Linked DNA regions of Tamandua tetradactyla. Each later gene encodes a partner of the first gene's protein in a complex. Links are inferred from orthologs where the notes say so. Each region holds a gene or a part of one and is shown on either strand. Other genes may lie near its edges.

Region 1 (15,841 bases):
GGGGAAGGGAAATGAATGATATCCATGATGTTCTGATCAGTTTTACACTGCAGCTGCCTGGGGTTTTGCTTTTTGTAGTGTGGTGCTGACTCTCTGGGTTGTGATCGATTGGGCTGCTTCAACCTCAGCATCCGAGGACATGGGTAAGATTCACCCTCCTTCCATTCTTCCAGGTTCTCAAGTGACCTGAGGACCCCAACACATTGAGTGGGGGTGGTAGGAGAATGGACCTCATCTTTGGGAATCAAAAATAGTGTGAATTATACTTGAACCAAAAATGTCACCTTGAGCAGGGTTTTCCAGCTGGCTATGCATTCACAGTAGGTTTTTATCAAGCACCTATTATGTTCCAGGCATTGGAATATAGGAGATAGGGATACAGGGAATCAGACAAGGTCTCTCCTCCCATGAATTTTACAGTTTAGTGTAGGAAACATAGAAGAAGTAAGTAAGCTAACAAAGTATTTAGATTGTTATAAATCCTATGAAGGAAAACAGTGAGAGCTAAGACATAGGATAACAGTAGGGAACCCACTTTAGGTACTCTGATGTGGAGAAGATTTTCTTAGTAGGTGAAATCTGAGTTGAGATTTGGAAGCTAAGAAGGAGCAAGCCAGAAGAGGCTGTCCCAGGCAGAGACTAGCCAAGTATCTGAAGCAGGGAAGAACTGTATAGTGGAGGAGATGAAGCAAAACTAATGAGGCTAGAACACAGTGAACAAGCTGAAGGACATTTCAGGTGAGGTCTGAGAAGTTAGCAGTGGCGAGATTATGCAGGGCCTTTAGACCTTGGTACATAGCATGAATTATATTCCAAATATGATGGGAAACCATTGAAGGATTTTAAAGAGGGAAGTGACAACTATCCACCTTGTGTTTTACTCCTTTTTTTTTTTTCCCACATGGGCAGGCACCGGGAATCGAACCTGGGTCCTCTGGCATGGCAGGCAGGCATTCTTGCCTGCTGAGCCACCATGACCCGCTCTCCACCTTGTGTTTTAAAGTGACTGTGCTGGCTGCTGAGTGGAGAAAGGTGGAGGGAACAGGAATGAAAGTGGGCAGACCAGTTAGGAAGCTGTTGGCATTGGTTGGGTGGGAGTTGTGGTGTCTGGGCTAAGGTGGGGGTGATAGAGATGGAGAGAAGTAGATGTTTTGGGTCATATTTTGGAAGCTAGAATTGACAGAACTTGCTGGTGCGTTAATGAGAAGGTAGATTAATAGGTGAGTTGCCAGGGAGGGTATTGAACAGAACAGAGGTGGGGGCTACAATTTATTTATTTTTAAATTTTTATTGAAATATACCATATATACAATAAAGTACACAAATCTTCAATGAAATTCAATGAATTTCACCACCCAGCAAACATTTCTTATTCCCCAGAAGGGAGAGCTCCCTTGTGTCCCTTTCCAGGCAATACTTAGGGGCATATACTTTGGCTTTCGAGAACTTCCTCCACCCATTCCCCTGGTTTCTTTTAACAGGGAGTGTGTCGAATACGTCAAGAGCTTCAATATCCCTCTCCTGGTGCTAGGTGGAGGTGGTTATACTGTCCGGAATGTGGCCCGCTGCTGGTGAGCCCCTCACTGATTTTTCTTCTGCTCCTTTCTCTTGTGTGAACTGGGGACTCCCTGAGAGATGGACATTTGGGCCCTTCAGCCCACCTGCTCAACCTGCCCCAATCTGCTGGTTGGTTTTAGGACTTATGAGACATCACTGCTGGTAGAAGAGGCCATTAGCGAGGAGCTTCCTTATAGTGGTAAGGATCACCCCAGGACACCTCCACAACAGGAAGCCCATTCTCACAAGACCCCCAGAATGGCCTCGTTTGAAGGCAGATGAGATATTTGACACTTTTAGAATTCTGAGACTAAACCCCTGGGCTCAGAGCATGGGAAAGATGGAGCAGCTGTTATGTAATGGGTCTAGGTGGGAAGGAAAGCGATTGGGAAGTCTCAAGACCTGCCTGAACCTTTATTCTCTCAGTCTGAGCCATATTACCCTCTCTTCATAACCTCCCTGTCTCCCTCTCCCCTGAAAAGAATACTTCGAATACTTTGCCCCAGACTTCACACTCCATCCAGATGTCAGCACCCGCATCGAGAATCAGAACTCACGCCAGGTCAGCAGCTCGGAGAAACTGAGTACAGTGGTGGGGGAACCTAGGAGGGGTCCAGGATGTGGGAAGTAAGAGAAATCAAAAAAGAAAAGGCAGTTCTAAGTTATCACTATCACTTCTCAGTAGGAGGCTGCTCAGGTTAAAGTAGAGGCAATCAGGGCTGGAGGGAAGGACAGTTACCAGTTGGTGGACCTGAACTAGAAATACTCTCTGGGATTAAAATTAGGACAGTAGGGGTGAAAGGCAGTTAGAAGGGTTGATGCCCTGAGAATCACTGGGAGCTTCTCACTCCCTATTCCTCATTTCCAAACAGTATCTGGACCAGATCCGCCAAACAATCTTTGAGAACTTGAAGATGCTGAACCATGCGCCTAGTGTCCAGATTCATGATGTGCCCTCAGACCTCTTGACCTATGACAGGACCGACGAGGCTGATGCAGAGGAGAGAGGTCCCGAGGAGAACTACAGCAGGTCTGGGGTCAGGGCCTCGACGGCAGGGATTCCAGCAGGCTTGGCGGGGAGGATTAAGAGGGATAAAGTAACATTGGAGGATATGCTTTATTGTTTCTGGCTTGCCTCTTTTAGTACACCTATTCCTCAGCCTGTTACAATTCCCCTACTCTTTCCCCCCTAACCCATTTCTGTTCTTAATTACAAAAGTAGTACATATTCATTGTAAAAATTTCAAACAGCACCAAAATACATTGTCTGCTTTCACACAGTCCCAAACCCCATTCCAAAGAAGTAACTACGTTAATAGTTTGATTTGTTCCTTTTCAGACAGACCTTTTTTTTTCGGGTAACAAAAGTACTGTTCCACATATAAACACACATACTCAGAGTTAGTGGTTTGTGCTTTAAAAAAAAAAAAAATACAAGTAAGATCATTCTATCCATGTTGCTCTAGAACTCACGCCTGACTTTTTTTTTCCCTAACAAACAGTTCCTCTTTCCATCAATATATGTAGATCTGCTTCATTATTTTATCAGCTATGTAATATTCCATAGTGTGGATATAGTTTAATTTAACCAGTTAGCATGGATGGATAGATTATTTTCCATTTTATCATTACCCAAAAATGCGGCAAACAACCCCTTACACATATACCTGCTTGTTTGAGTAACTCAGTGGGTTAAATTTCTCTGCTGAGAATTGTCACTGCTAGTTCAATTTTAGTGCTGTGCTCACTAAAATTTTTTATATTTGCAGCCAAATTGCCTTCCAGAAAATCTGCAGCAATTTATGTTCTTGCCAGCATTTTACTCACTCCTTCCAAGTCACTGCCCATATGCCCTTTGTTCTCTTAAGTTTTTCAGAGTGATAATGGTGTTGTGGTTATGTTTTTTAATGAAGCCTTTATCTTTCTGAGATACAAGCTAAAATATAGATGCAGTGAATTGTGGATAAAAATAAAAGTATAGAATTCTTTTAAAAAAAAATCCCAACCTATTCTGAAAAACAAAGGAAAAAGATAAAAGAATCCAGAAGTACAGAAACAGATGTACCTATCAGAGAACAGGTTTCCTTACGTGACTGAGAGATAACCATAACAGTGGCAGAGCTTTGAGCTGGCCCTGTTGGAGAATCTAACAAGCTTTTCAGTTTCTTCCAGAATCTACTTCTCTGTCTTAGAGTTCAGGCCTCCAGAGCTCTCCTCTGGGCCTGGGCTTACCGCTCTGACCCTTGGAACTCCTACAGCACCCCACCTGAGTACTCCTTTATCCCATTCCTAGAGGAAGCATCTAGACATCCGGCCCCAGGCCTTCCCTTTTTGACCTATCATGTCTTTTTCAGCTTCTCCAGGTCACTGCGACTTGACTTCTGGAAATTGGTTTTCACTGTTTGGTTTGGTTTGGTAAAGTCTGTTATTACAGCTGGTTCTTCCTTTTGACAAAATTTGACTTTTTCATTTATAGTTCTGACTGGCATCTGAACCTAGTATCTGCATTTTACTGTCCACTGCAGAAGCCTCGGGCTACTTCCTTAGCCCTAACACACTGTTGGACCACTTACTCAGTTCCTGTTCTTCTTTGAGAGATGCCTTTCGCTCCAGTAATAATAATGAGTTACCATTTTTTTGTGGGTTTGTTAAGCAACAGACTCAATGCTAAGTGCATTATAAACAACATACATATCTTTGGGTCATCATCCTATCATCATCAGACAGCCCTAAGAGGTGATTATTATTCTCAATTGCCAGAGGACGAATCCAAGGCTCAGAGAGATTAAGTAACTTTCCTTAGATCACACAATATTGGGCCCAATATTGTTTTCATAGTCATTCTGTCACTACAGATTTATAACATCATGTCATTCCACTGCTTAAAACCTTCCTTTTCATTGCACCTAGAAGAAAATCCAAATTTCTGACCATGGCTTAATAAGGCCCTGCACACTGGCTCTTACCTATATCCCTCATCTCATCTCTAACTACTCCCTTCCATGCAAACTATTCCTAGCCATACTCGCCTTCTTGCTCTTACTGGAATACATAAGTCTACCACATGACCTCTGTACTTGATTTTCTTACAGCTTGGAATAGTCTTCCTGAGATCTTTGCTTGGCCAGCTCCTTCTCAGACTTCAGGTCTTAAATTCCTACAAAAATTTCCCTAATCATCTTGTCTGAAATTTACCCTTTTCCTCCCATCACATTCAGTCATGTCACTATTTCATTTTATTCATAGCACTTTCCACCATCTGAAATAATCGTGTTTTTTTATTCTTTGAGGGGAGGAGGAGGGGTGCCTGGTCTGGGAATCGTACCCATGTCTCCCGCATGGAAGGCAAACATTCTCCCACTGAACCACCCATGAACCCTGCTTTTATATTTTTTAGGTTATTGTCAGTTTCATTGTGTAAGCCCTTAGAAGGTAGAAACATTATCTGGCTTCTTTACTGTATTGCTGAAGTCTGTGACAGTGCTTTAGCAATACAGTCCCTCAGTAAATGTTTATTGAATACATAAATGGATGAATGATAGCAATCTTTCTCTATCAGTAGGAGGAAAGGAGTGGTTCCCTGACAGAGGGGGTCTGAGAAGTAGTTCCAGAGAGGGGAACTTGGAGACTGGAGTCCTGATCTCCTTCCCGTTGCTTTGCAGGCCAGAGGCACCCAATGAGTTCTATGATGGAGACCACGACAATGACAAGGAAAGTGACGTGGAGATTTAAGAGTGGCTTGGGGATGCTATGTCCCAAGGACTTCCTTTTCACCTCTTGATTGGGCAGGAGGGAGAAGACGTGACTTCTCTATTCCTGGATATATCACAACCAGGGAAGGGTTCGGAGACCACATCTGGTTCTAGAACCAACTTCCCCTTTTCCTCTGCCTCCCCAGGCCTGACAGTGGTACCTGTTGGGAGGGGAAGGAAGCAAAGACAGCTGTCTCTGGGTTACCTTGGGCAGTGGGCCCTAGGAGCCAGACCCCAGCCCCTCTACCTCCCTTATTCCTTCCATGCTTCCCTCCAACCCAGAGACTTCAGCCTAAAAGGGTAGGCAGGACTGAGGTTGCCTCTGATTCCTTCATGCCTGGGTGTTCTGCTGTAGGCTGTGCTTCCAGGACAGGTGAAATATGAGAGGTTTCAGGGGCCTCTGACTCACTAAAACCTTAATCTCAGATAATCTGACGTATGGTTTTGAGTCAGGGGAAGATGTGAAAATGTCATGTTCTAACTTTTTTTGGCTTCATGTCCATTTTACCACTGTTTTTATCCAATAAATCAAGTTGGTATTTTTTGTACCTTTTGCCTTTCTGGGAGTGTTCTTAATTCCTGTTAGTGTTATCTGCCCATGTGTGAAGGGAAGAAGAAAAGGGGTAATCATGCTTATAATAAGAATCATCATTAACATTCATTCAGCACATTATTTTATGTTAGGACCTATTATATATTCTATATGGATTATTTTACTTCAACTCAGGGAGTTAAGCATTCTGGTTGAGTTAAACAAACCTGGATAGATTACTAGTTTAAGAGAAGAAATAGAAGACAACTTCAGGGTTTTGAACCTGGGTTTTGGAATAACAATGCTAGTTGCTGACTATAAATTACAATAAAACATGTCAAGTGCTTAGCACCGTGCCTGACAAAAGTAGTTATTAGTCTCATTATCTTATCTTTGTGTAAGGAACAAAGCTAGCTACCATAGTAGCCACAAAACATGGACCCTTCTCTGGAGTGGTTCACAATCCAGTAAGGGAAAGAGTTACAAGTTCACATGGATTGTAATAAATGTTATAGTACATACAGACAGTGGTACAAGAAAGAGGAGTAGTAGATGAGCCACTCTTTCCATCCTTTGATCCTATTTGTTTCTCAGCACTCCAGCTTAGTAAGCAGTTTTTGAACTCTTGAAAAAGTTGAGTTTGAAGTGTGGGTTGGACAGCTTGATACAACTTTCTTTCAGGCAATTAGAGGGTCTGGAGCACCAGAGAAATGAATACCAGATTAGGAGCTAGCCAGTTTGACACAGTCTCTGCAATATACCAGCTCTTGGACAGGGGTACCAGAGTGAGTACGCTGACCTTCAGGAATGCACACTTGAAATCTTTTGTCACCAGTGATCAAGGCAATTCATGCTGTGGGGTCATACTGAATATCTACTTTTCATACAAGGGACAGGTGCCAAGGGAGAACGTCACACTAGAAGAGCAAAGAACATGCTCTTGGAGAACATCCCTTCTTTTCACTCATGTTCAGTTTATGTCAGTGGAGAGTCCTGCTTAAAAACAGGGCTTGCCAGTCAGACTAACCAGTGTTTCTTTTTTTTTTTTTTCTTTTCTATCAAATTTGTGTTCTTAGGCAAGTCACTTCAACTCTCACAACCCTAATATCCTATCTGTAAAATTGGAAGACTAGTAGAATCTATCATGTGGTCTAATGAGTGAGATGATACATGTGTGCTTTGCACAGTGCCTAGCACAGAGCAAATGCTCAGTAAATGGAACTATTAATACTGTCTAGGCCAATGTTTGGAGTAACTAGTTTGTCCAAATTAGAACTACAACTAGAAAGTAGCTGACCTGAGATTCGAAACTAGGCACTCTAACTGCGGAGCTAGTCTGGTTCAGGGTTTAGCATGGACCATGCTCTATTCTTGGTATTTAGCTGTCAATAAATGGCAGCTGTCACTTTCAATGTAATCTACGTGTATTTCACATGTAAGAACTGCACTATCCCGGAAAATCCGGCACTAAATTTTCTGTCAGGGTAACGGTACCTCTGATTCGAATTTTGGCTCAGATTATAATATCCCGGTCTGAGTGAGAGTAGGTTCAGGTTTGACAGACACGTGGAAGCTGAGTGGGAACAAGGAGACCTGGTCTTCGCCGCTCGTACAGCCAGGGAGCGCTGTTGCCAGTCGCGGCCTAATCGAGCTGTACCGCCCACTCGTCATCCCCCACGTGGGCCGAATGGTTAGGTCCGCGGGCAGGTAGTGTGCTTCCGCGACTCCCCTCCACCCCTTTTCCTTCCCCCATTGGTAGGGGCTGCGCGTCCGGGCGGAAGTGGGGCAGGCGGGCGGGAGCGAGGCGTCACCGTTGTATATTCATGAGGCGCGCGCAGCCCGGCATGCTAATGAGGCGGGGCGCGGCGGCTGGCTAAGGAGCTGCTAGGCGGGCGGTGGCGGCGGCGGCGGGCGCGGTGCGACCCGTCGGGAGCGACGTAGGCGCGGGGGTCGCCAGCCAGCGCGAACCGGGGCATGGAGCCGCCGGGTGGGGGCCTGGGGCCCGGCCGCGGGACCCGGGATAAGAAGAAGGGCAAGAGCCCGGACGAGTTGCCTGTGGCGGGCGGCGACGGCGGCAAATCCAAGAAATTTGTGAGTGTCCCTCCCACCTGGTTTCCTCTGCCCGTCCCCACAACCGGCTCGGGACCCGGGAAACCCCAGCAGCCGGGCCTAGGGGCTCCCGCCTATCTCTCGGGAGCCGCCCCCGCGCCTACCTTCCTTGACTAGCTGGGTCCTTGGCTCCTCAGCCCGACATCCTCCTCCTCTTCCCGGACCTCGGGAAGCCCCGGAGTCTCACCCGGTTCTTGCCCCGGTAGCCGCGGGGCTTCTTTCACTCTCCAGCCGGCAAGCTCTGCCCTCCGTCCTCACAGCCCCGGCCAGCTCTCTGCCCGGTCTCTCTCCTCCCAGCCCCACTTCCTTTCTTTCTCTGTTACCCGCTCACGGCTTCTCTATCTTGATCTCCTATGCTTTCCTGGGTCCATTTACCTCCCCCCCTCTTTTTTTTTGTAATCTCTTATTTCCTTATCCAAAAGGTCACTTCCTTCCCCATGATTGATCCTTTTCACCTGCTAACTTTCCTCCCTGCCCCGTCCCCACTCTGGGCCCTCAGCCCGGTGTCGCTTGATAATCCTTCCGCTCAGGAATGTTACCTGATTTGGACCATGTGATACAGGAATAGGTTCCTGCTTAGGTCCTCTGGTCATTCGGCCTTGGACGTTAATTATTTGCTTCCCAATATTTCTCTTTCCAAAAAACCTGTTTCTTTGCCCTGTTGCTTAACACTTTTCAGGGGTTTAGAACTTCTCCCAGGATTATGCCCTTCTCCACCTAGGATGGGAATAAACCTCCCCCATGGGGAGGAAGTTAGTAAGTTCAAGAAGTTTGTGAGTAATTGAATTTTTTTATACATTTTCCGTGATAACCATCTCCTCAACTCCTCTTCTGCCACCTCCTGTGCCTCAAAGCTGCTCACTTCCCTTTTCCTACCTGTCGAAGAGTATGGATTTCCTCAGGTGCCAGTTACTTCCAACCTTAGTCTGGAGAAATAATTGCTATTCATGTAATCCTACCGTATTTCATTACCTTTTGCCCACACTAAATCTTTTTTTCCTTACTCCTCTCTGCAGGGAGCTACTTGTCTACTTTTTATCATAAAAACAGAAAGATTTGGGGCACTGTCCAAGAGAGGGAAAAGTCTTTGATCTTAATAATCGCTTGTTAGTTGTAACTGTGTTTTAGTCTTTCCCTCTAGATGGTACAGCGTCTCCCTCCCCTTCTACTGACCAAATGGTTTATAGCTCTTCTTTCTGTTTTCTCTTGTCCCCAGCATTCTGACCCAACTCCACAAGTTTGGGAAATAGTGGTGGAAACAGGAAGAAAATATTGTGAGGTTGAGATGTGGAGAGTACTAGTACAAAATAAAACAGTGACTCATCTCTTTTCTACCTGTTTCTAAGACCAGGTGCTCCTGGACTCTCCTTTCCAGTGATTTACAGGCTGTCGGTAACTGCCTGTTTTTATCTGGTGAATATCTTTTTGTCTATAAGTGTAGGATTAACAGGAGTGTCGTCCCCCTCTCCCCCAAACCTTTGATGATTAAAGCAGCATTTTCCTATGTTTCTTTAGGCTAAGAATTGACCCTCTGGTTTGAAAGTTTCCCTTCTAAGACTTAAGTTCTAGGGCCCATACTCCTTCTGGTTTCTGTATCTTTTTGTTTTGATTTTGTTTCCATGGGTATTGTTTGACCTTCCTAACCTGAATTCCCACTGCTGATTTATAATAACTTTTGTGACTTGTAAATATTTTTTCAAATCTTAGTGGAATTTTCTGTGTGTTTTTGTTTTATCTAATATGGGTGTGTTTCGTGAATTTGTGAATCATTCATGTGTGATGCTGTAAGGTGAGAGCACCTGTTTTGGGAATGTCACTGAGTCTTCTTTGCTGAATGAATTTGTCTCAGAATAGTTGGTATTTGCTTTAGAGAGGGTGGAGCCGAACCAAGTTCTCTTTTTCTTTCTGAGGTGTTGGTCTTAACCCTTAACCAGTTGAAGTTTTAAAAATATGTAGTATAGGCAGTGAAGAGATTTGCTTTAGTAGCTAGGGGATTGGAAGGTTCCCAGGAAAGTAGTGCAGCTTAACTCCTTTATTGCCAGGTATGACCTGCCTCAAGTCATCAGAATATTCTGTTTGAATTCTGTGGAAATGGAAGACTAGGCACATTGCAATGCACTTCTCTCTGTGTCAGTGTGTGTGTGTAAGTGTGGGCGGGCGGTGTGGGCAGGATTGCTGCAGTGCTTTTGTTACCCATGGCTTGGTTTTCTTAAACTGCAGGTTAAAACGGAACTCAAAGCTGTTTCGCCTACTCCACGTTTTCTAGAGTGTGTGGCCTCTGGAACACCATTAAGAGTGTTTTTATAAAACTGCGCTGGTCTGGACAAAGTGTGCCTGGAGGTTGTTTGCATCTGAGGGGTAATATTAATCCCTTTAGCTGCTACATACCTTTCTGGGTTTATAGAGGTTCTGTGTACAGATCATCGAATGAGAAAACAGAGCTCTTACCCTCTGAGGCAATCTTGTGTGGAAAGGAGATAGAGAGTCTTAAATTTAAAAAGTGTTTGGACACCGTCTTTTAAAATATATGATTATTAGAGAGATGTTGACATGAGTGGCTGAAGCCAGGCGACCTGGTACTCCCCCTTGGTTTTTCATGTGTCTGTCTTCTCCCAGGCCCTGTGCATTTCCCTTCTCCAGGATCATTCCAGTTGTGTTTGGAAGTCCTTAAGATGAAGGAAATAAGAGAACTATAATTAAATGGAATGTGGAGTGTTTTCTGGACTCAACAGCAGTGGTAAATGTGGGTGTCAAATATACTGATTTCTGAAGTTTAAGGGGAGTAAGTACAACCAGGATGTTAGGAGGCTGAAGAATATTCCTGCATTTAATAGACTCCATTCCTTCTCATACAATCAAGAAATCGATACATTCTAAGAGAAGAACTTCCTGATTCAGAGTATAACTTTTTAAAACCTGAATTTTAGTGAGATTAGAAAAAAATCCAAGATATATAATTTTTTAAAATCTTGTGTGATTTTGGATGCGTATGCCGAATTATTACCATGTTACAGTTTCATGCCCTTCTGAAAGCAAAGATAGTGAGATTATACATGTTTAGTTGTGAACCTCTGTCCAAATGAGCGCAAAGGTGAAGGATGCCAGGCAGAATTTTAAGGAGGTGTTAGTTAAGGTATAAAATGTGAAAGATATGGAGCTTGTGTACAAGTCTGTTCATCTCATAAAGAAGGCAACTGTGATCCCAAAGGTCACAGGAAACCAAGGATTGTTCAGAGAGCTTTGAGCAGTCATATGTTTTTGAAAGATGACGGACATTTGGTATAATTTAATTTGGGAAGAGGGAAGAAAGCCTAGAGATCATGTCACTGATATGTTTGAAGTGACAGAATGATTGTTACTTTAGACATTTCTGCCCATCATCCTGCCTTGTCTCTTGAAGACAGCCAAAGGGTCCATTTGATGATGTCACATGTGCGTGTCCCAAAGGAAGTCCTCACAGGAGGTCAAACTGAGGGAATGCCTTAGATGTAAAATCTCTGCCTTGGGAGAGTTGCTGAATGTGGGGTACTTTTATAAAAAGAGGTGAAAATTTTATGACCTGTAAATTATGTTTCTTATAAAAGCTAAGAAAATAGTAATGAATGAGAAGTGATGTAACTTTATTGATGGGCACAAAGGTTCAGAATAAACAAATTTTATTTCTTGTATGAGAGAATAACCTTTTGTTATCCTCCAGGGTCCTCAGTGTATTTTGTAGATGGATTGCCAAGTTATTTTTGGAGAGTGCTGTATCTTCAGTGAAATGTAATGAAAGCTTAAAAGATAAGGTTATACCACATATGACTTAGAAGAACAGGTAAAATTATGTTTATTGACAAGAAATACTAGGTATTTTAGAGAAACAGAATTTGTAGATGCAGGTGTAATTTTCTCTGCTTTATATCTCAGTAGCTGATAACATTCTTGGCTAGGAAAGCCATCCCCATTTTGAAACAAGATTTGTTTTAATTAAGTTTGTTTCTTTATTATGTTGAATCCCCTGTTCTTCTTTAGCTTGAAAGCAGTAAGAAAAACTTCCCTCTTGTCAACCAGCACAGTGGCATTGGGTGTTCCCCTCGTTGGGGTTAGGTAAGGCAAGCTGACCCTCCTTGACCTGCTGCCTCTCATCCTCTCCCACTTTGTTTTTATTCCCTCCCTGCTTTCTGTAGGGACTGGCTAGAGACACGGCAACAGTCAGGCCTTTAGAGAACCAGGAAGAGGCGGATGATACGAAAACTGAAAAGTGAAGAATGTTTCATTTATACCTTTTACTTTATTTTCTCCCTGTCTTTCCTTCCAAACACAGTTTTGAGACTCAAGGAACTCTTTTAAGGAAATAAAAGAATTATTGAAGGAAAAAAGAAATATTGAAACCAATGTTTTAATGAATTTTATGACAGTTGACAGAATAACCCTGGTTGAATCATTGTTCTTTCAACTTGAGATTCTTACTTCCATTCATTATTAAAGCTTGCTATGAATGGTAGCCTTAAAACTTTAGAGTTGGAAGGAACTTTAAATGTCATCATGCCTGAACACCCACGCAGTGCCGAAGTCCCTACTTGCAGTGGTAGGTTGGAAACATCAGGGGGTTAAAAAGTGTATGTTACATCAATAAACGAAGGAGGAAGGGCAGAAATGTTGGATTCTGCATTTCCTTTAATAAATTTCAGGATCTTCGAATAGCTGAAATAGTATAAAGGGATTATACAAAAGGAACAGATGCACTAGAAGCTGGGAGACTAAGAGGGAAAAGATTGAAGAAACTGGCTGTCTCTTGCTTGGCTCTGTTACAGTTAGGGAGTGTCAATTTGCCCTTTAAATATTTGTTTAAGTTTCTTTCCTCCAAGACGGGACTGGAACAGATAAGAGCATACAAAGGAGAATAACTGTAACGGAACTGAATTTAGAGAAACACATTGGATTCTTATATGGAATATGGGAAAATTCCATTCTTGATGGGGTGGCAGTAACTGGTGTGCAGATCCTTAGGCAGCAGCTACTAGGGCATTTTGCTAGAGTAGCAGATACAGATAGAATTTATGGTGTCCTGGATTACTTTTCTGGATTTCTGATTTTGTGACTTATACCCTGTCCTATGAGTAGTACTGTATAAAGGAATAGGATTTGTATTTTCTTTTAAGGTTCAACATACTTTAAGGACCCAACAGAGGATGATTTTACAAACCATTCTTTGAGCTGAGAGGCCACAGAAAACCAGGATACCTTGGTAGTGAGCCTTCCATCTCAGTTGTCTCTGCCTTTTATTGTAAATGTCAGAATTTTAGGATCAAGTAAAAAAGTTGCCTGTCACCTTTTTTTTTTTTTTAAGATTTTTAAACTGTGAAATATAACATATATACAAAAAAAAGCAATAAATTTCAAAGTACATTGTAACAAGAAGTCATAGAACGGCTTTCAGAGTTTGGTATGTTATAGTTCCACAGTTTCAGGTTTTTTCCTTTTATCTGCTCCAAGACACTGGAGACTAAAAGAAATATCAATATAATGATTCACCAGTCAAACTCATTTGTTAAATCCTATCTTCTGTTATAACTCCTTCTTCTTTATCCTTCTCCCAATTTTTAGGGGTATTTGGGCTCTGCCCATTCTAACTTTTTCATGTTGGAAAGGGGTGTCGATAATAGGTGATGGGGGATGGAATTATTTGATATTCTTGGAGATACTGGTCCCCCTGGGTTTCAGAACTTAAATGGCCTAGGCTGGCCTAGGAACCATCTGGAGGTTGTAGGTTTCTGGAAAGTAGTCTTTGTGTGAAACTTTTGTAGAATCTCAGAGCCCTAGGTGTTCTTTATGGTTAACAAGAGTGGCTTTGTTTGGAATTTGGCAAACCAACCCCTCGCCTCCTTCTTTACAGCTTTATTGATGTACAATTAACATACAGTAAATTGCACATTTTTAAAGTGTATAGTTTGTGAATCCATTACCACAGTCAAGATAATGAACACATCCATCACCCTCAGAAGTGTCCTTGGGTCCCTTTGTAATCTTTCCCCTCACTCTTCCTCACGACCCCCACCTGATAACCACTGATTTGCTTTGCCTCACAATAGATTAATGTGTATTTTCTAGAATTGTAGGTAAAGGAGTCAAACAGCATGAACTCTTTGGTCTGGCTTCTTTAAGCATAAAATATGTTGCATATATTAATAATTTATTTCTTTTGATTGCTGAGTAGTAGTGTGTTATGTGGATCTGCCACACTTTGTTTATTCATTTGCCTGCCAATGGACATTTTTGTTATTTCCAGATTTGTTTGTTTGCTATGGACACTCATATACAGATTTTTCTGTAGACATATGTTTTCATTTCTCTTGGGTAAAAACTTAGGAGTACAATGGCTGGGTCATATGGTAGATGTATGTTTAATTTTTTAAAAAATTGCCAAACTCTTTTCCAGAGTGGTTATACCATTCTACGTTCTTACTGACATGGATAAGTATTCCAGTTCCTTGTTACCTCTTGGTTTGAGCTGTATTTAAAATTTTAGCCATTCTAGTGAGTGTTTAGTGATATCTCAGTGTGGCATCAGTTTGTATTTCCCTATTGACTAATGATATTGAGCATCTTTTCATATGCTTATTTGTTACCTAGATATCTTTTTTTTGGTGAAATATCTATTCAGATATTTTGTCCATTTAAAATTTATTCTTATTATAGTTGTTTTAGTTTGCTAGCTGCTGGAATGCAATATACCAGAAACAGAACAGCTTTTAAAAAGGGGAATTTAATAAGTTGCTAGTTTACAGCTGTAAGGCCAAGAAAATGTTCCAATTAAAACAATTCTATAGTAATGTCCAACCTAAGGCATCTAGGGAAAGGTACCTTGGTTCAAGAAGGGTGATGAAGTTCAGGGTTTCTCTCTCAAAGTGAGGAGGCACATAGCGAACATGGTCAGGGTTTTTCATCTGGAAGGGCATGTGGCAGACACGGAGTCATCTGCTAGCTTTCTCTCCTGGCTTCCTGTTTCATGAAGCTCCCTGGGAGACGTTTTCCTTCTTCATCTCCAACCACTCTTGATTGAGTCACATCTCCAGGGAGATAATCTAATTAAAGTCTCCAACATGCAGTACTGAATAGGGTTTAGAAGAAACGGCTGCCTTTACAAATGGAATTAGGATTAAAACATGGCTTTTCTAGGGTACATACATCCTTTCAAACCAGCACAATAGTCTTGATACAAGTCATTTAGAGATATAGTTTGGAAATATTTTCTTCCAGTCTGTGGCTTGTCTTTTCATTTTCATAACAGTGTTTTTTGAAGAGCAAAAATGTTTCATTTTAATCAAGCCCAAGTTTTTTCTCTTTTATTGTTCATGCTTTTTGTTGCATAAAAAAAAAAAAAACTTGTTAAAATCAAGGTCACTGAGACTTTATGGTTTTGTTTTAGAAGTTTTATAGTTTGAGCTCTTTAATTGTCTTTTTCACTGAGGGCTTGCAAGTTGTATTCCACACTTTCACTTTGGGGTATAAAATTTTCACCTGTGGTCAGGACAGAACATTTGTGATACTCAGGACTAGGCATCTTTGAGGTTCCGTTTATCCTGGAAGCATTTTCATCCTCTTATGCAACATTAGAAACCTTTTTTTTTTCCCTGTACTTGGTGTGCTACAGGTTGTATACTATCTATAAATATTAATGAATGTTTGGCAGCTTTATAAATAGAAAGATTAATTCATTCCAGAATGAAAGGACAGAGAGAATAACAGTGATGACAGCGATAACTAATAATAGCAACTATTTGTTGCATACACTGAACTGTAGTCATAGCACTGTGTTAAAGAGCTTTAGATCCATTATCTCATTAATCTTCACATCAATCTTAGGTACTATTGTTATTCCCATTTTATAGGTAATTAAACTGAAACT
Region 2 (15,864 bases), on another chromosome or scaffold:
TTGTACACAAAACTTCACTGTAGCATTATTCACAACAGCCAAAAGGTGGAAGCAACTCGCATCCACCAGTAAGAATATCCATACAATGGAATTATGCTCAACCATAAATAGGAATGAAGTTCTGATGAAACTTGAAGACATCATGTTGTCTAAAATAAGTAAAACAAAAGGACACATTTGTGTGATTTCACTTACATGGAGACAAAGTATATTACAGGTTATCAGAGTCTAGGCAGTGGGCAAATGGGTATTGTTGGTTGTTGAGTACAGAGTTCAGAGTGTTGAAACAGATGGTGGTGTTGGTAGTAGCATAATATTGTTAATGTGATTTCACTGAATTATACACGATAGTGGTTAAAATGGGAAAATTTTTGTTGTATGTGTTACCGTAATAGAAATTTTAAAAAAGAAATAAAAGAAAAAGTACTGTGAAGGAGACAGGGTTAACCAAACCTGCTGTAGTTCCCCCACTTTGTGAGAACCCATCCATTTCCCCATCCAGCTGAACCAGAATATGGAGGGGCAAGACTTGTCAGCGTTTCCTATGTCCATTTTTTTCAGTCTGGCCTTCTCCCCCAGTACTACCTGCAGAGTGTTCTTCCTAAAGTAACCAATGATTCCATGTCTTACATTCAGTAAACATTTTCCAGTTACCTTTGGCATGCGACACCACTGACTACTCGTTTTTTTTAAACACTCTCTTATGGTTTCTCCAACCTGGTTTTCCACCTTTCTGGCCATTCTTTATCCTCTTCCTGACTTTAACTGTTGGAAATTTGGGGGGTTTGGCTAGGTCATCTTCATAATATATTCATATGCCCTAGGCCTCCTCCCCACTCCCTATTCCACTATTTGGTTAGTCCTAAATCATACCCAGATATTTTCCAAATCTATCCTCCTCCAAACCTCCGCACTGGTGCAAGAGGACACCATGTTCCTCCCTAATCCTGCTCCCATCCAATTCTCCACACAGTGGCCCCCGTGATCTTCAAATACAAATTTGAAGATCACGGGGTTCGCAGGAAGTAAAAGCTCCTCGACGCCCACATGCCACCGCTATTCTAAATCGCTGCGATCCTTATTCTGCTACCCAGCCCCGGGGGCCCTTCTTCCAGGCCTTCAAACTCCAGGGCTCTGCAGGCTGCTCGCTCCTCCGGCAGGGGGGCCACGCCCACCTCGGGGCGCTCTTACTCCAGGTTCTGCGCCGGCGTCTTTCCTCTCCTCGGTCATCCCTCCCCACTCCCGATTCTCGTCACAGCCGCAGTTGGTTGTGCCTCTCCCGCTAGACACGAAGTTCCGTGTATGGAGTGGGCTCGTCTGCCTTGCTCATCACCGCGTCCAATATACGTTTGTCGAATGAAGGCTGAAATAAGACCAGATGGAGAGGACAGACGGGTGTGGTGGCAAGGACGGACAAACAGAGACTACTGTGGGAGTGACTGCAAACAGGGCAGAACGATGGGTGGGGGGAGGCAAGGCAGCGCGACGCGCAGACGGGCAGGTCGGGACCCCGGCACTGCGGGGCCGCGTCTCGGCAGGGGGCGCCCGTCTCGCGGGGCGGGGCCTCGCGCAGCCCCGCCCCCCTCGCCGGCGCGGGGGCAGGGGGGCGGCTGGGGGCGGCTGGCGGCGGCGGCGGCGGCGGCGGCAGTGCCATGGCTGCGCTCGTGGAGCCGCTGGGGCTGGAGCGGGGTAAGCGCACCCCGGGAGCCCTGCCCGCCCCGGCCCCGGTCCCGCGTGCCTACCCCTCCCGCGGCCAGGGCTGCGCGGGGGACGCGGGGAGCCGGCGGGGCCTGACGGGCCGGGCGGTCTGTGGGCGTGGGAGGGTCCGCGGGTCGCAGCGGGGGGCACCGGCCGCACGCCCCCGCACAGTGGCTGCGGGAGGGGGCCCTTCCGGGGAATGCGGGGCGCCCGACTGACCGCGGCGCCCACCGGCTCTGTTCTGTCCTTGCGGGCGTCCGGCTGCGCTCGCCCTTGCTCCTCTCCCGCCGCCTCGCTGCGCCCCTGCCCCGCCTCGCAGACGTGTCCCGGGCGGTGGAGCTCCTCGAGCGGCTCCAGCGCAGCGGGGAGCTGCCCCCGCAGAAGCTGCAGGCCCTCCAGCGGGTCCTGCAGAGCCGCTTCTGCTCCGCCATCCGGGAGGTGAGAGCCGCGCGGCGCCCGGCCGCCCGGAGCCCGGGGACTACGCGTCCCAGCAGCGCCCGGCCGCCCTGTGGCGCTCGCGGTTCTGCTCGGGGGCTCTTGGGGAGTTGTAGTTTCCTCGGGCCCCGGGTTGCGGGGACGGGGCGCACCCCTGGGTGGGAGGGAAGAGGGAGTGTGGGAGCCTGGCCCCCTGAGTGCGAGGGAGAAGGGACCCGGCGGCTCCCGAAGCTGCAGCGTCCCCTCCCAGGTGTACGAGCAGCTCTACGACACGCTGGACATCACAGGCAGCGCCGAGACCCGGGCCCACGCCACCGCGAAGGTAGGTGGCCCCCGCCCCCCATCCCTCTTGGTCTGAACGAACTGCCTGGGCCAGCTCAGTGTCTCTCTCGTGTCAGCCATCCCTTTTGCCAAATCTTTTGTACCACCCTTACCGTTAAATTTATGATTTCCTCGAAATACTCTCATGTTTTTTACTCAAACAAAAGTCCTACAAAGGCATCCTTGACAACTACAAATGGAAACCAGTACTGCCCTCCTGACTAGAAGGTAACCTTAGAAATCTATACGTTGAAAACAGTGACTGTCATTAAACAGTGAAATCGTAGTGAAATATAGTTAGACACTGTTTCCTGTAGCTTCCTTGCAGGCTCTCAGCTCCCTCTAGGCCTTGCTTGTTTCCCACTGATGGAAAGTGAGATTGGCAGATGTTGGGGGGTAAAGATACACACGAAACCGAGACTTCTTTCCGAAGTAATCAGAAGCACCTAGAGTGAAAGCAGGAGGCACATGGTCATCACCAGGTGATTTGGAGTTGAGTTGTGGCAGACGCCCCATGTCTGGGGAAAGCAATCTGCCTCCCAGACTCAGATCCCCCACCCCAGGCCGCATGCCCACCGTAGAGGGGCCATCCACTCCAGATGCTGTCTCTCTCCCAGGCCACGGTGGCCGCCTTCACGGCCAGTGAGGGCCACGCTCACCCCAGGGTGGTGGAGCTGCCCAAGACAGACGAAGGCCTGGGCTTCAACATCATGGGTGGCAAGGAGCAGAACTCCCCCATCTACATCTCCCGCGTCATTCCCGGGGGCGTGGCTGACCGTCACGGAGGCCTCAAGCGTGGGGACCAGCTGCTGTCCGTAAATGGTGTGGTGAGTGGTGACTGAGGCATAGTCTGTCCAAGGTGGCACAGCCCTGCTTTTAACATTCATTCATTCAACACAAAGTGATTGAGGACTGCCCACACGGCTGGGCAGTGCTGCAGACCCTGTGAGAAATTGGCCTCAGCTCGTACACTCAAGGATTGCCTCTCAGATAGACCCTGACTGAAATAGTCCTGATCCAGATGATGTGCTGTGAGGGAGGAAGCACAAAGCCTTGTGAGAAAGCAGATGTGGCATCAGACCAATCCGAATGAGGAAGGAATGTTTGAGTTGGGTTTTGAAGGATGAACAGGAGTTTTCCAGGCAAACAAGGTGAAAAAGGGTATTCCTGGCTGAGGCTGTTGCAGGTAGGAGCTGTGAGTCTTGTACTCTTCTGAAATGAAGAGAAAGGGCTTGGCCTTGATGGAGGTCTGGGACATGCAAGGAGGGACAAAGGAGAAGAAATAGGGGCAGGAGGGATAGAACTGAGGACTGAGGGCAGTAGGGAATGAGGATGAGCCTGCAGGTGAGGTTCAGTTACTGAGGGGATATAGGGTCATCCCTAACACCTGACATAGAGAACCTGAAAGGTTGGGGGGGGGGACACTGAGCCAAGAGTTAACTCTCCATAGGGACAGGAGGCCTTGGCATTTTGAGACGGTACTGTGCTCACAAGCAGTTACTCCCGTTTATGGGGTGGGGGCAGGCAGAGGGCCATGAGCCCTGGGCCCAGCTGTGGGTGCACCACCCTGCAGAGCGTTGAGGGTGAGCAGCACGAGAAGGCGGTGGAGCTGCTGAAGGCCGCTCAGGGCTCTGTAAAGCTGGTGGTGCGCTACACGCCCCGCGTGCTGGAGGAGATGGAGGCCCGCTTCGAGAAGATGCGCTCCGCTCGCCGGCGCCAGCAGCACCAGAGCTACTCGTGAGTGCCTTGTCACCGCTGGGACCTTCCACAGCCCCACATAGCCCTGGACTCCCAAACCAGGCCAATGATTCCAGGGTCCTGAATGCCACCCCCAGGTCTGGCTTCTCTTCCCTGGCACCCTGACCCTTGACCCAGGCCTGGCTTCTTTTCCCTGGCCTCCTGGCCCTTGACCCAAGTGAAGGCTTGGTCAAATCCCCTGGGAGGTCCTAGCCTAATCCTATCTCAAGATCTGGAACCCACTTCCCTGGGCCCTTGCCTCTGGAATCTGGGTCCTGGTCCTCTCCCATGTCTTCCCAGGATCCCTCCACTGAGCCTGGCTCCCTTCTCTTCACCCCCTTGCAGGTCTTTGGAGTCTCGAGGCTAAAACCACAGATTTGGACCCTCATCTCCGCCCCCACCCCTGTACAGTATTTATTGTCACCATCCCTTATTTAAAGATCTTTGAATCTCATTGTGCGTCTGTGTGTCTGTCCTGCCTCCTAGGACTGGAGTGTCTGGAGGAATGGGGGAGGGAGAGGAGCCGAGGTCAGAGACCACGCCCAGCAAAAGCCCTTTTCAGAGTCTGAGAACAGAGGTGGAAACCTCTCCTCAGGTCTCACGGCCGAGGCTGGCCGGCTTCCTAGGGACAACTCCGAGGGCGGAGGCTGGGACCCAGCCTGGATCTGAGTGAGGGGGCGGGACTGAAGGCCCTAAGAGGGTCTGAGGGCGGGGGCGAGCCCCTTCTTCCGCGGCTGGTCTGACGGAGGAGTCCCGAAAGGCTGCAGGAGCCAGTGGGCGGCCTCTGTGTGGGCCGGGCGGAACGAACCATTAGCTTGGTCCGCCGGGGGAACCTGCAAGCCGCACTACGGTCTGCGTGGGAGGCGGGGGTGGGGGTACCGCGTGCAGTTCCCGAGGCTGGCGCAGGGGGTGCGGAATAAGGGGCAAACTCGCCGACCCGGTCCTCACCCCACCTTCCAGCCGGAGCGCGTCTCTCCGGAACCCGCACCCACCTTACAACCCACCCTGCACCCTCACCCCGCCCAGCCCTCCTGTCCCGTGCGGCGCGAGGGCCGGCGCGCGCCACCGCCGGGATCCGGGGTCGCGACTCGCGTTCCACGCCGCGCGCCACTCGCTCCAGGTGACATCATCCCCATGCCGGACTCCGCCTCCCGCCCCAGCCGGCGCACGCCGCACGCCCATTGGTCAGAGCTCCTTGAGCCCGCCTCTCGCTCTCCGCCCGCGCGACCCCTCCCGGCCTGTGCGGAGGCGGGGTCTAATCGCCGGCCGGCGCCGACGCAGCCTCCCATTGGCCCACCAGCGCCGTCTGTCAGTCTCCTGTTAAAGGGACCACGACCGCCTGGGAGCTGTGGGGGTGGGGGGAGGGTGGAGGAAATTTTCTTGGGGGGGGTAAAGGTGGGATTTGGGGGGCGCTGGTGGGAACCCCTGGATCTGGCGCCTACGGTCTCGCGGGGGGAGGCTGAGCGGTCACAGGGGGAGGGGGCTATTTTAGTGGGGAGAGGGCTGCGAGACCGTGAGGGGGAGGGGGTCCCCAGCGCCCGAACCCGAGCAGGAGACGCGGAGCCCGCGCGAGCGGCGGAGACAGGGCTCCGGAGCCACAGATCTGGGCCCCGGCCGTCGCCAGGGGCCCCGCCCGGTCCCCCCACCCCACCCCACGTCCATCCTGCAGCCCAGCTCCGCCCGCAGCCGCCGCGGACCAGGTAGGTAAAAGCCCGGCCCGGCTCGCCTCGCAGTGCCCGCCCGGGGACCCCTCGCCGAGCCTCCCCCGCCTCCCCGAGATCCGGGTTCCCTTCCTCATCTCCGGGGACCCAAGAGCCCAGATTTCACTGCCCAGCTCCGGGGGTTCAGGCGCGCCGCTGCCGACGGCCAGAGTCCCCACCAAACCCTAGAATCCCAGGCGTCCTGCCGCCTTGTGCCTCTTCCTGGGCCCAGAAGGCTGGCTTTCCCAGTTCAGCCCCGGGAGCCCCCTCTGAACCTAGATCACCCCCCAACCTTCGCCCAGCCCCCGGGGCCCCGGACCCCCGCCGCGGCTGTGCCAGGCTCCCCCGGTCCCGGCCGACCGCCCCCCGTCGCGTCCGCAGCGTGCCCCCTTCGCGCAACCGGTCTGTCGGTCTCCAGCCCTCCCGGCTGGAACAGCGGCCGCGTCGGTCGGTCCAGGCAGCCTAGGCGGCCGCCCTGGACACAAGCCCGCTCTGGAGCTGTCCATGGTCACTGCACCCGGCCGCCTCGCCTCCCCCATCCCCTGCCGCCGCCGCCGCCGCCGCCGCCGGGATCCCTCCCGCGGCGCCTTTGACCCGGGGATACCCGGGCCCTCCCCGGCCCAGGCACTCGGGCCTTGGGGTTCCACTCTCAGCCCACATCCTTGGCAACCCAGGCTTCTAGAACCCCCACTGCTCCTGGAGGAGCGAGGGCCTCTGAAGGTTTCTGCCGGGTCAACCTCAGGGACCTTGGCACCCAGAGACCGCACCTGCTCTGGGAGCCCTGTCAGGGCTCACCCTGTCTGGCTTAAGGACCCAGCCCTCACCCCCTCAGGACCTCGGAGTCTAGCCTTCCAGCCTTCACCCCCTTTTGAGACCCAGTTCAACAGTCCCTGTGCCCCTCAGACAAATATACCGGGTGCCCCGCACCCCCAGCATCTGCCCCTTTAGGGATTCAGGCGCCATGACTTTCTTCCTTTCAGGGACCAAAACTGCAGTTCTTAGGCTTCTACTTACCCTCCGCCTTGGAGACCTAGATGTCTTGTCCCCAGACCTGAATCCCTCCAGGGACCAGTTCAGACTTCAGCCTCTGAACAGCCCACCAGCCTTCACCAAAGCATCTGCCACAGCCTTACCCCACAAAAGGATTCGGGCTTTCAAGCTTCCAGCACCCCTACCTTTACCCTGGCAAGGATCCAAGTCCCTAGCTCTGCCTACCCCCCATCTCCCCCAAGTTATCTAGCTTCTCAGTCCTCACTTAGGGGACCAGAATCCCATGGCCTTATGTTACGCATCCACCCCCCAATTGACCTTATATCTCCTGTGACCCTGACTGTGTCTCCATATCATCTCAGGTGCTGGGCTTACCGGGATTCTACTCTCTCCTTGAAACCCAGCTTCTTGGGGTGCTTCTAGCACCCTACTGCCTCCTAAGGCCTTTATCCTGATGTCTTACCATCCAACTACCCTTGGGCTGGAAGCCAAACATACATCCCTTCCTCCAGATGTGTCCTGTGGCTTATCAAGTGATCTAGAATCAAGCTGCTGTCTTCCACATTTCTGGTTATACATGTGCCCTTTACAATGCTTTAAGGTCTAGATTTTTTCCAAATCCTAGAATACTTCCAGGTGACTTATCTGTTCCATCATCACCCAAGGCATGTTCTAAATTTTAGGCCAGATGCTACATTCTAGGCTTGTCTTTATCCGGAAGCATTCAAATATCTAGGTAATGCCTCAAGCCAAATTTCAATCCCATCTTCTCCTCAGACATGTTTTACATTTTTAAAAACCAGTCCTTGCTAATTCTCTGCTAAATTTTCGTTTTAGGAGTGTAGTAGTTCCAGCCACAGCCTTAACTTTGTTCTAGATTCCATTATCTTTCCAGGAGCATTCTAAGTTCTAGAATGTGCATGTCCCAATTATGTGCTCTAGCCCTTTTCCAAATTGTATTATCAATTCTATGATGTATTAGGCTCTACCCAATTCCACAGTCTTAAATCTAGAAGATTGCCCCCATTGTACATGACATCTGCCTTCCACCAAGTTCTAGATTTTAGGCTCATGTATCAAGTTCTAGGTTCTAGGTTCATCCACTCCTGCCTTCTCTGCTCATCTTTTCCCTAGTGTGACTTTAGCCTAGAACTTGTTCCCTGGTGGATTGTGAGCTGCCTCCTCCACCTGCATTTCAGAGTTCTAAGCATGTTCTAGGCTTTCTCCTCTTCTAGAATCTCTAATAACCTCTCCTTGCTACTCAGTTCTTATGCCAAGAAATTCTCAAATCTCAGCGTGTATCCTTCTGCAATTCACCCCAGGCACTTCTAAATTCCAGGCAACCTCCTTGCTCTTTCTAGGTTTTTCTTTGCCTCCAGGGCATGCTCTGAATTCTAGACCATGTCTTCTGCATTTCAGGGTTAGAACCTAGAAGTACAGACACATGGTTAAATCAAGAATATAACCCCTGCTATATTCTGTGTTATATCTACATCCCAGGTGGTTCTGAGTTCTAGATTATGTCTCCTGGCTGGGTTTGGTGTGTATTACATTAGGTTTATTCTTAGGTGATCATCATGCTCCCTTCTATGTTTGGGGTTCTGTGCAGCTCAGGCATTCTTAAGTTATTGGATTGTTCTTGCCTGCCTAGGTTCTAGGTTCCAGACCTGAGTCCTAGAACATGCCCCTCTTGGTGGCCCTATGTGTAGACCTCACCTCAAACTTGTAAATGTGGAAGCATATGTTCTTTCTGCACTCTGTACTGTCTTCCTTCCAGTGGCCTTCTAGAATCAATGGCCAGCCTTTTTGTGTTTTACTTTCTTCTCCATGAATTTAGGTTCTAAAGCAGCCTCCCTAAAACATCCTGTGTTGCATCTTCTAAGTAGATCCTGGGCTTAGATTCCAGCTCGTTCTTTGGCCTAGGACTGACTTGCCCTCTGATAAACATTTTCCTGAATCTTGGTGTCTGAATGCTGGGAGCTCAAGTGTCTAGATTCCCAGATTCACTACTTCACAGAGCCAAGGCCCGGTCCCATGCTTTGGACACAGCATATTGGGCAGGGCTCTGAATTATCCCCTTTCAAAACTGGTTATGCTGCTAGGAGGAAGAGGGAAATGGGAGGGAACAAAATGAAAGTCCCTACTGCTTTTGGCTGGGCCAGCCCAACCCGTCTGACCTGATGTCTGTGGAGGGAGCAGCCTGGGGGCCCTCCTTTCATCTCTGTCCCGCTCCTGCTCCCGACTCCTGACTCCTGTGATCCAAGTCTGGCCCTCCTCCAAGAAGACCCACCTCCCTTTAACACCTGCCCCCCCTCCCCCGTTACTGCCCCAAGAGGGCTTGGGGGTGGGGTGGGGGTGAGGGGTAATGGGATGGTCCCAGAATTCCTTGGTCCTGGGAGGAGACGTGTCTGCAGGCTGGAATTTATGGATCTAAGGGGGAAGGAGCTGGGGGCCCAGACTCCTGTGACCAGAAGAAAGAAGGTGGATAGTGGGACTCCTGAGTCCTAGAGGGAGGGCACTAGCACGGCCTTCCCCTGGAACACTTTTTATTTATTTATTTCTAATGGACGGTGGTGGTGGTGGGGTCTTTAGATCCTTCGGAGCCAGGGTCCAGATAACTGGGAAAAGGAAAGAGGCAGGAGTTGGAAGGGATAGTAGGTGAGGACCTTCCTTGTGTCAGTGTCCTAATTCTGAGGCCAGTCCTGAGACCTCCTGAGGGCATGATTCCAAGAGGACTGGCCTGGACCTCAGTTTCCACATACATTCCCTCAGGCAAGGCCTGGGTCTCCCGGCTTCTGCTTCTCTGAGAAGCTGGCTGGGTTGAGTATCAGATTTGCTGCCACTGCCGATGGACTGAACTCAGGTTCCCCAATGCTCTCACTCAGGTAGCCAGTTAATCCTGTTTCAGTTTTTCCTGTGTAATAATCACAGTGGATGGGCCTCAGTTTCCCCTAGGCAGTACTTGGTGGCTGCCCCTTAGCCTTCCTCGTGGAGAACCCTGGCGGCCGAGCCTCAGTTGATCCGCCATGATCAGAGTTGCTGAGCCTATTTCTTCTTCGCTGCAGTGCCTGGGTTCCGCTCCGCCTCGGTTTCCCTCAGGTCGTATCCGAAGGGCGGGCCTCAGTTCTCCGCCCCCTGCCCCCGACCCGCAGGCCCGCACCGCCGCCATGATGTGCGAGGTGATGCCCACCATCAGCGAGGACGGCCGGCGGGGCTCGGCGCTGGGCCCGGACGAGACCGGCGGCGAGCTGGAGCGCCTCATGGTCACGATGCTCACGGAACGCGAGCGCCTGCTGGAGACGCTGCGCGAGGCGCAGGACGGGCTGGCTACAGCGCAGCTGCGGCTGCGCGAGCTCGGCCACGAGAAGGACTCGTTGCAGCGCCAGCTCAGCATCGCGCTGCCCCAGGTCTGGGCGGGGCCGGGGCGGGGCCTTCGGGAGGCGGGGCCTCGGCCCGGGGAGGTGCCGAGGCAGTGGGCCGGAACGGGTGGGGCTTAGCGCGTGGAAGGGAGGAGTCTGTGGGAGGTAGGCTGGCAGGGGGCGGGGCCGAGGCCGAGAGGGGGCGGGGATTCTCCGGGAGGGGCGGGGCCTGCAGACGCCCAATCTCAGGGCATGAGAGATGGGGAAGCGGCTGTTCTGACCATCCTGAACCTTTCCCACGCCCGGAAAGGAGTTTGCAGCCCTGACGAAAGAGCTGAACCTTTGTCGGGAGCAGCTGCTGGAGCGGGAGGAGGAGATTGCTGAGTTGAAGGCGGAGCGGAACAACACTCGGGTGAGGGGTGTTGGAGGCGGGGGCCTAAGAGGGGAGGGCGGGGCCACTAGCGACGCGGCCCGACCCGGCCTGACCCTTCTCTTCCCTGCACCTCGCCTTCCTGTGTTCTCCTCCTCCTCCGTGCTGCCTGGTCTCCTCCACTGCCCCCCTCCACTCCCCTACCTTCATGTACTCTGCCCTATCTATAACCTTTCTTTTCCCCTGTACCACTCTTTCCTCGGCCCCACTTGGACCTCTGCTATCCCTCTCTTGCACCTGCCTGTCTCCTCCCCTTGGCTCCACCCTCTTCCTCCATGTGTTCTGCCCAAATCTTTTCCTTGGCCCGGTGCCCCTCCCTGTAGCTCCTCCTGGAACACCTGGAGTGCCTGGTGTCCAGGCACGAGAGGTCACTGCGCATGACCGTGGTGAAGCGCCAGGCCCAGTCCCCGGGCGGGGTCTCCTCCGAGGTGGAGGTGCTCAAGGCCCTAAAATCTCTCTTCGAGCATCACAAGGCCCTGGATGAGAAGGTATGAGATTGGAGATATGGAAGAAAAGCCCCTGGTTGGCTGGGGCTGTCCTGAGAGGGAGGGATTCTGGCTGTGATTGGGTGGATATGTCCTGAATGAGTGAGATTCTCTGGCTGTGGCGGGCTAGGGCACTCCTAAAGTGGGTTTGGGGTAGGCTACCGGCTAGCTGGTTGTGACTGCACACCCATTATGGATCGAGGAATCCTAACATTGCCCAATCAGGCTTGTGCCAGGGGTGTTCTGGGTCAGGGTCGACTGTGTTAGATTGGGTCTGGTCTCCACCTCGCTCCTGTCCTGCCCCATCCCCAGGTCCGCGAGAGGCTGCGGATGGCGCTGGAGAGGGTGGCAGTGCTGGAGGAGGAGTTGGAGCTGAGCAATCAGGAGGTGGAGTGTGGCCAGGAAAGGGAGGTTGAATCCATGGGGAGGGACCAATGGGGCAAGGCCTAGGAGGCAGGCAATAGCTTGGGATAAGGGGAGACGCTCGGGAGAGAAGCAACTTGGGCAGGACTAGGCCAGAGAACCAAAGGGATTGGATTATGGAGAACACCTAACGAGAAACTCATTGGGCAGGTGGGAAGCTGAGGTGAGGAACCTCAGGGAGAGTGAGAATGAGACCAAGGCAAGTTGAACCAAGAACTGGGGCTAAGGCAAAACCTAACTATGGGAAAATGGTCGGATGGTTGGATGGGAGGAAACATCCACAAGGGGGTTTAAGTGACCCAGGTAACCCCTCCATGGTGGGCAGCTAAAGAGAGTTATAAGAGTGGGTCTAAGGATAGCAGGATGGCTCCAGCAGGACTTGAGACAACTTGCATGGAGGAGTCAATGTCCTCCCCTTCTGAGGACCAGTGCCCAGACCAGTGGGAAGAAGAGCTGGGGGTTCTGGGAAGCCACTTTGCCCTGATCCCCCTTTTGCTTTCCTAGACTCTGAACCTTCGAGAGCAGCTGTCTAGGCGACGGTCAGGGCTGGAGGAGCCGGGCAAGGACGGGGATGGGCAGGTGAGGGGCAGAAGTCCTTCCCTCAACCTGGTGGCTTCCTGCCCTTGGGACCTCCACACAAGCCCCTGACTTTTAAAGTTTGGTATGAATCTCACTGACCCCTATAACATCTGAACCCCTATGACCCTTACTGACCTTTAACCTCTGATTCACGTTACCTTGCTGACTGCAGTGACCCTCACTGAGGCCCGTGGAGGCTGCCCTGCGGGACTCTTACCGATCTTTGATTTCCACCCCAGCCGCACTGATCAACTTTCTCCTTGCATTCCCTCTGTGTCTCTGTTTCCCCACTCTGGGCTCTGCCCCTTCCTCCCTCACTGCCCCTACTCCAGATCCTTGCCAACGGCCTGGGTCCTGTCGGGGATTCGAACCGGCGCACAGCAGAGCTGGAGGAGGCCCTGGAGCGGCAGCGCGGGGAGGTGTGCCAGCTGCGAGAGCGCCTGGCGGTGTTGTGCCGCCAGATGAGCCAGCTGGAGGAGGAGCTGGGCACCGCCCACCGCGAGCTGGGTAAGGCCGAGGAAGCTAACGCCAAGCTGCAGCGTGACCTCAAGGAGGTGAGGCCAGAGCCCCTGGCGGGCTGCCCTCTGTCCCTCCCCTGGACCCTAGCCCTCCCCACCTTGGCCCAAAGTCACAGAGCTCATGAGTGGTGGAATAAGCTATGTGGACCCTCCTCTCTGAGCCTCAGTTTCCTCACCTGTGAAATGGCATTTATGGCCCTTGTCAGGGATTGATGTGTGGCATATAGTAGGAGCACAGCAGCTGGTTGTACTTATTATGAATCATTGAGGACTTCTCTTGCGATTCTAAATTAAATTTGCTTGTCTGTAAGGCACCCCTTCCTGGCCTAGCCCCTTGATCTTAACTCTTATGCCCCAGGGCTACTGCAAAATGTAGGGCCTAGATTCACAACGGCAGTGTATGTGAAGAAAAGAGAGCATTTTATTTTTCATAACCCACAAGGGCTTTCACCTCGGTTTTAAGTTTTGACTGTCCCAGGGGCTACTGGGAAACATGGTCCCGCCCCACAGGCCCTCAGACCAGAGTCCACCTCCCTTGTGTCCCTGAAACATCCCTGCTGGGGTTTTAAGCCTTGGTTACCGTGGCGGCTCCTGGATGGAAGGGGACATTGTTTCCCACAAGACCCTAGGGCACTTGCCCTGTGATTCTAAGCTCGGAATGTGTCGGAAGTTGTTGGATAATGTGAGACCTGGCGTTTTGAGGAGAGTCACCCCAAAAGAGTGGGGGCTTTATCCTCCACGGGCCTTAGGCCATCCACACTGGGAGACGCTAAGCTGGTACTGCCCTAGAAGCTGGTGAGGTGTGGTTTCCATCATTCTGCCACCCCACCCACACCCGCAGACGGCAGGGAACTTCATTTCCCAGGACACCCTGGGATGCTTGGTCTGGGGTTTTAAGCTTAGGCTCCCCCCCGGGGCTTCTGGGAGCTGTAGTCCACGCGACCCTCGGTCCCCTCCGCAGGCTCTGGCGCAGCGCGAGGACATGGAGGAGCGGATCACCACGCTGGAGAAGCGCTACCTGAGCGCCCAGCGCGAGGCCACTTCCCTGCACGACGCCAATGACAAGTTGGAGAATGAGCTGGCCAGCAAGGAGTCGCTGTACCGGCAGGTGGGGGCACGGCCCGGGAGGGAGGATGGGGGTGGAGGGATGGGGCCGTCGCCCAGGCGACCTAAGGCCGCCCCTTTCCCGCCTCTCCCCGGCCCCAGAGTGAAGAGAAGAGCCGTCAGCTGGCCGAGTGGCTGGACGACGCCAAGCAGAAGCTGCAGCAGACGCTGCAGAAGGCGGAGACCTTGCCCGAGATAGAGGCGCAGCTGGCCCAGCGCGTGGCGGCGCTCAACAAGGTGCGGGGAGGGAAGGCGGGGGGCTGGGATGGAGGAGGCCTGGAGATGGAGGAGGGGGCGGGCCCTGAAGCGCAGGTGCGGGGCGGAGGAGCCTGAAGCCCCAGGGGCGGGGCCTGGCACCCAGCCGGGAAGGAGGCGGGGCCCGGAGCCCTCGGCTGGGGCCTGGTGGGGCCAAGCCAGAGGCCGTGGGTTCCATCCACCAGGCCGAGGAACGTCATGGGAATTTCGAGGAGCGGCTTCGGCAGCTGGAGGCCCAGTTGGAGGAGAAGAACCAGGAATTGCAGCGGGTGAGGGGCGCGGCCCGGAAGACGGTGGAGAAGGCGGGGCTTGGGGGCGGGCCGGGGCGGGGCTCCCCGGGCCAGGGGCGGGGCCTTGATCATCCCTGTTCTCCTCCCCTCAGGCGCGGCAGCGGGAAAAGATGAACGACGACCATAACAAGCGGCTGTCCGAGACCGTGGACAAGCTGCTGAGCGAGTCCAATGAGCGGCTGCAGCTGCATCTCAAGGAGCGCATGGGGGCGCTAGAGGAGAAGGTGCGCCCCATCCAGGATTCCGACCACCTACATTCCAGGAATCTTCCCCCAACCTCAGCATCCCCAATCCTGTCGACCTCTGGGCTCTATTGCTAGGACCTCTTTTTCATGCTAAACACGTTAGGGGCTGAACTGTCAGCACTCAAAGCCAACAGCCCTCAGCATCCTCCAGCCTTGGGTCCTCTGAGATTGAGGGGGACACGGAATTCTGGTTTTCCAGGGTCTCCCTTCCCCAGATGCATTTGGTCTCATCCTCGTGCCCACCCCATTTATCCTGGGGTTCCTTTAGGCCTGCCCCTTCAGGCTCTGCCCCCTGGCTTCACCTCTGTTCCCCACAGAACTCCCTGAGCGAGGAGATTGCCAACATGAAGAAGCTTCAAGACGAGCTGCTGCTGAACAAGGCAGGGAGGGGCCGGCGAGAGGGGGTGAGGCCGGGGAGGGGCCTGCAGGGGTCGCCCCTCAGGGGCGGGGCAGAGTCTGATGGGCCCCGCCCCCTCCCTCAGGAGCAGCTCCTGGCCGAGATGGAGCGGATGCAGATGGAGATTGATCAGCTGAGGGGGAGGCCGCCGTCTTCCTACTCCAGGTGGCAGCAGAACTCGTGCCCCTCCCCTCTTCTGCACCCCCACCCATGGAGTCCCTTGGCCAAGCCATCTCTTCTGGTCCTCAGGGTTCCCCACTCCCTACCATTCTGAGACTTCTACAGCCCTCCCTCTTATTTTTGGCCCCTGATCTCATGATCCCTGGCCCCAGGCCCTTTTTCCTGACCCTTGACTTTGGATCCCTCATCCACTCCCCTAACCCCCAGGCTCTTGTCCCTGACCCCTGACCCCTGACCTCTGTTCCCTTTTCCCATTTCCTGACCCCTTGGTCTCTGACTGCCTCCCCATGCCCATAGGTCTCTCCCTGGCAGTGCCCTGGAGCTCCGTTACTCCCAGGCACCCACGTTACCTTCTGGTGCTCACCTGGATCCCTATGGGGCTGGCAGTGGCCGGGCAGGCAAGAGGGGCCGCTGGTCGGGGGTCAAAGATGAGCCCTCCAAGGTCAGCAGCTGCCTCTGGGCTTGAATTGAGTAGGGCTTGGGCAAGCAGTGGGGCTCTGAGTGGGTGGGTGGGTGGGGTGCTGAGAAGCAGGGTCTCCTGGACCTACCCTGTTTTCTCTTCTTTCCCTGCAACTCCACTGTCCCCACTTCCTTGTTGTCTGTTCATGTGGACATTTCTACCTGGTGAGAACCTTGGAGGAGTGAGAGGGTGGTGAGAAGGGTGGGGTCTTGGGGACAGTGGGTGGGGTAGTCCCCAGTGTGGGGCCAGAAGAAAAAG

The links.
Region 2: the proteins of protein diaphanous homolog 1-like (region 1) and PPFIA3 are in contact, whole or in part, in a crystal structure (PDB 4UWX), measured with the Mus musculus proteins. The link is inferred for Tamandua tetradactyla from reciprocal best matches to the Homo sapiens genes DIAPH1 and PPFIA3. Residues at the interface, in NP_031884.1 of Mus musculus: Lys252, Ser255, Ala256, Ile259, Gln307, Asn310, Ala311, Thr314, Pro315, Ala316, Glu317, Arg322, Gln352, Cys354, Val355, Glu358, Gln359, Glu362; in NP_084017.2 of Mus musculus: Pro719, Arg720, Arg723, Leu724, Arg726, Met727, Ala728, Ala730, Leu731.

Annotation. Positions count from the first base shown.
Region 1 is NC_135346.1:21,747,555-21,763,395, reverse strand, and holds the start of protein diaphanous homolog 1-like, read left to right. Parts: upstream 1-7,696; 5' UTR 7,697-7,815; coding exon 7,816-7,932; intron 7,933-15,841. Other genes in the region: HDAC3 (histone deacetylase 3), read left to right, coding at 79-143, 1,482-1,571, 1,698-1,756, 2,040-2,119, 2,430-2,587, 5,220-5,289. UniProt on the Homo sapiens protein: Actin nucleation and elongation factor required for the assembly of F-actin structures, such as actin cables and stress fibers. Binds to the barbed end of the actin filament and slows down actin polymerization and depolymerization.
Region 2 is NC_135342.1:11,995,429-12,011,292, reverse strand, and holds the start of PPFIA3 (liprin-alpha-3), read left to right. Parts: upstream 1-9,820; 5' UTR 9,821-9,907; coding exon 9,908-10,288; intron 10,289-10,467; exon of another isoform or gene 10,468-10,550; coding exon 10,551-10,652; intron 10,653-10,993; coding exon 10,994-11,158; intron 11,159-11,467; coding exon 11,468-11,542; intron 11,543-12,082; coding exon 12,083-12,157; intron 12,158-12,489; coding exon 12,490-12,711; intron 12,712-13,636; coding exon 13,637-13,783; intron 13,784-13,881; coding exon 13,882-14,016; intron 14,017-14,219; coding exon 14,220-14,303; intron 14,304-14,416; coding exon 14,417-14,548; intron 14,549-14,886; coding exon 14,887-14,949; intron 14,950-15,051; coding exon 15,052-15,131; intron 15,132-15,443; coding exon 15,444-15,588; intron 15,589-15,864. Other genes in the region: LIN7B (protein lin-7 homolog B), read left to right, coding at 1,653-1,689, 2,018-2,136, 2,384-2,455, 3,072-3,281, 4,028-4,191, 4,537-4,558. UniProt on the Homo sapiens protein: May regulate the disassembly of focal adhesions. May localize receptor-like tyrosine phosphatases type 2A at specific sites on the plasma membrane, possibly regulating their interaction with the extracellular environment and their association with substrates.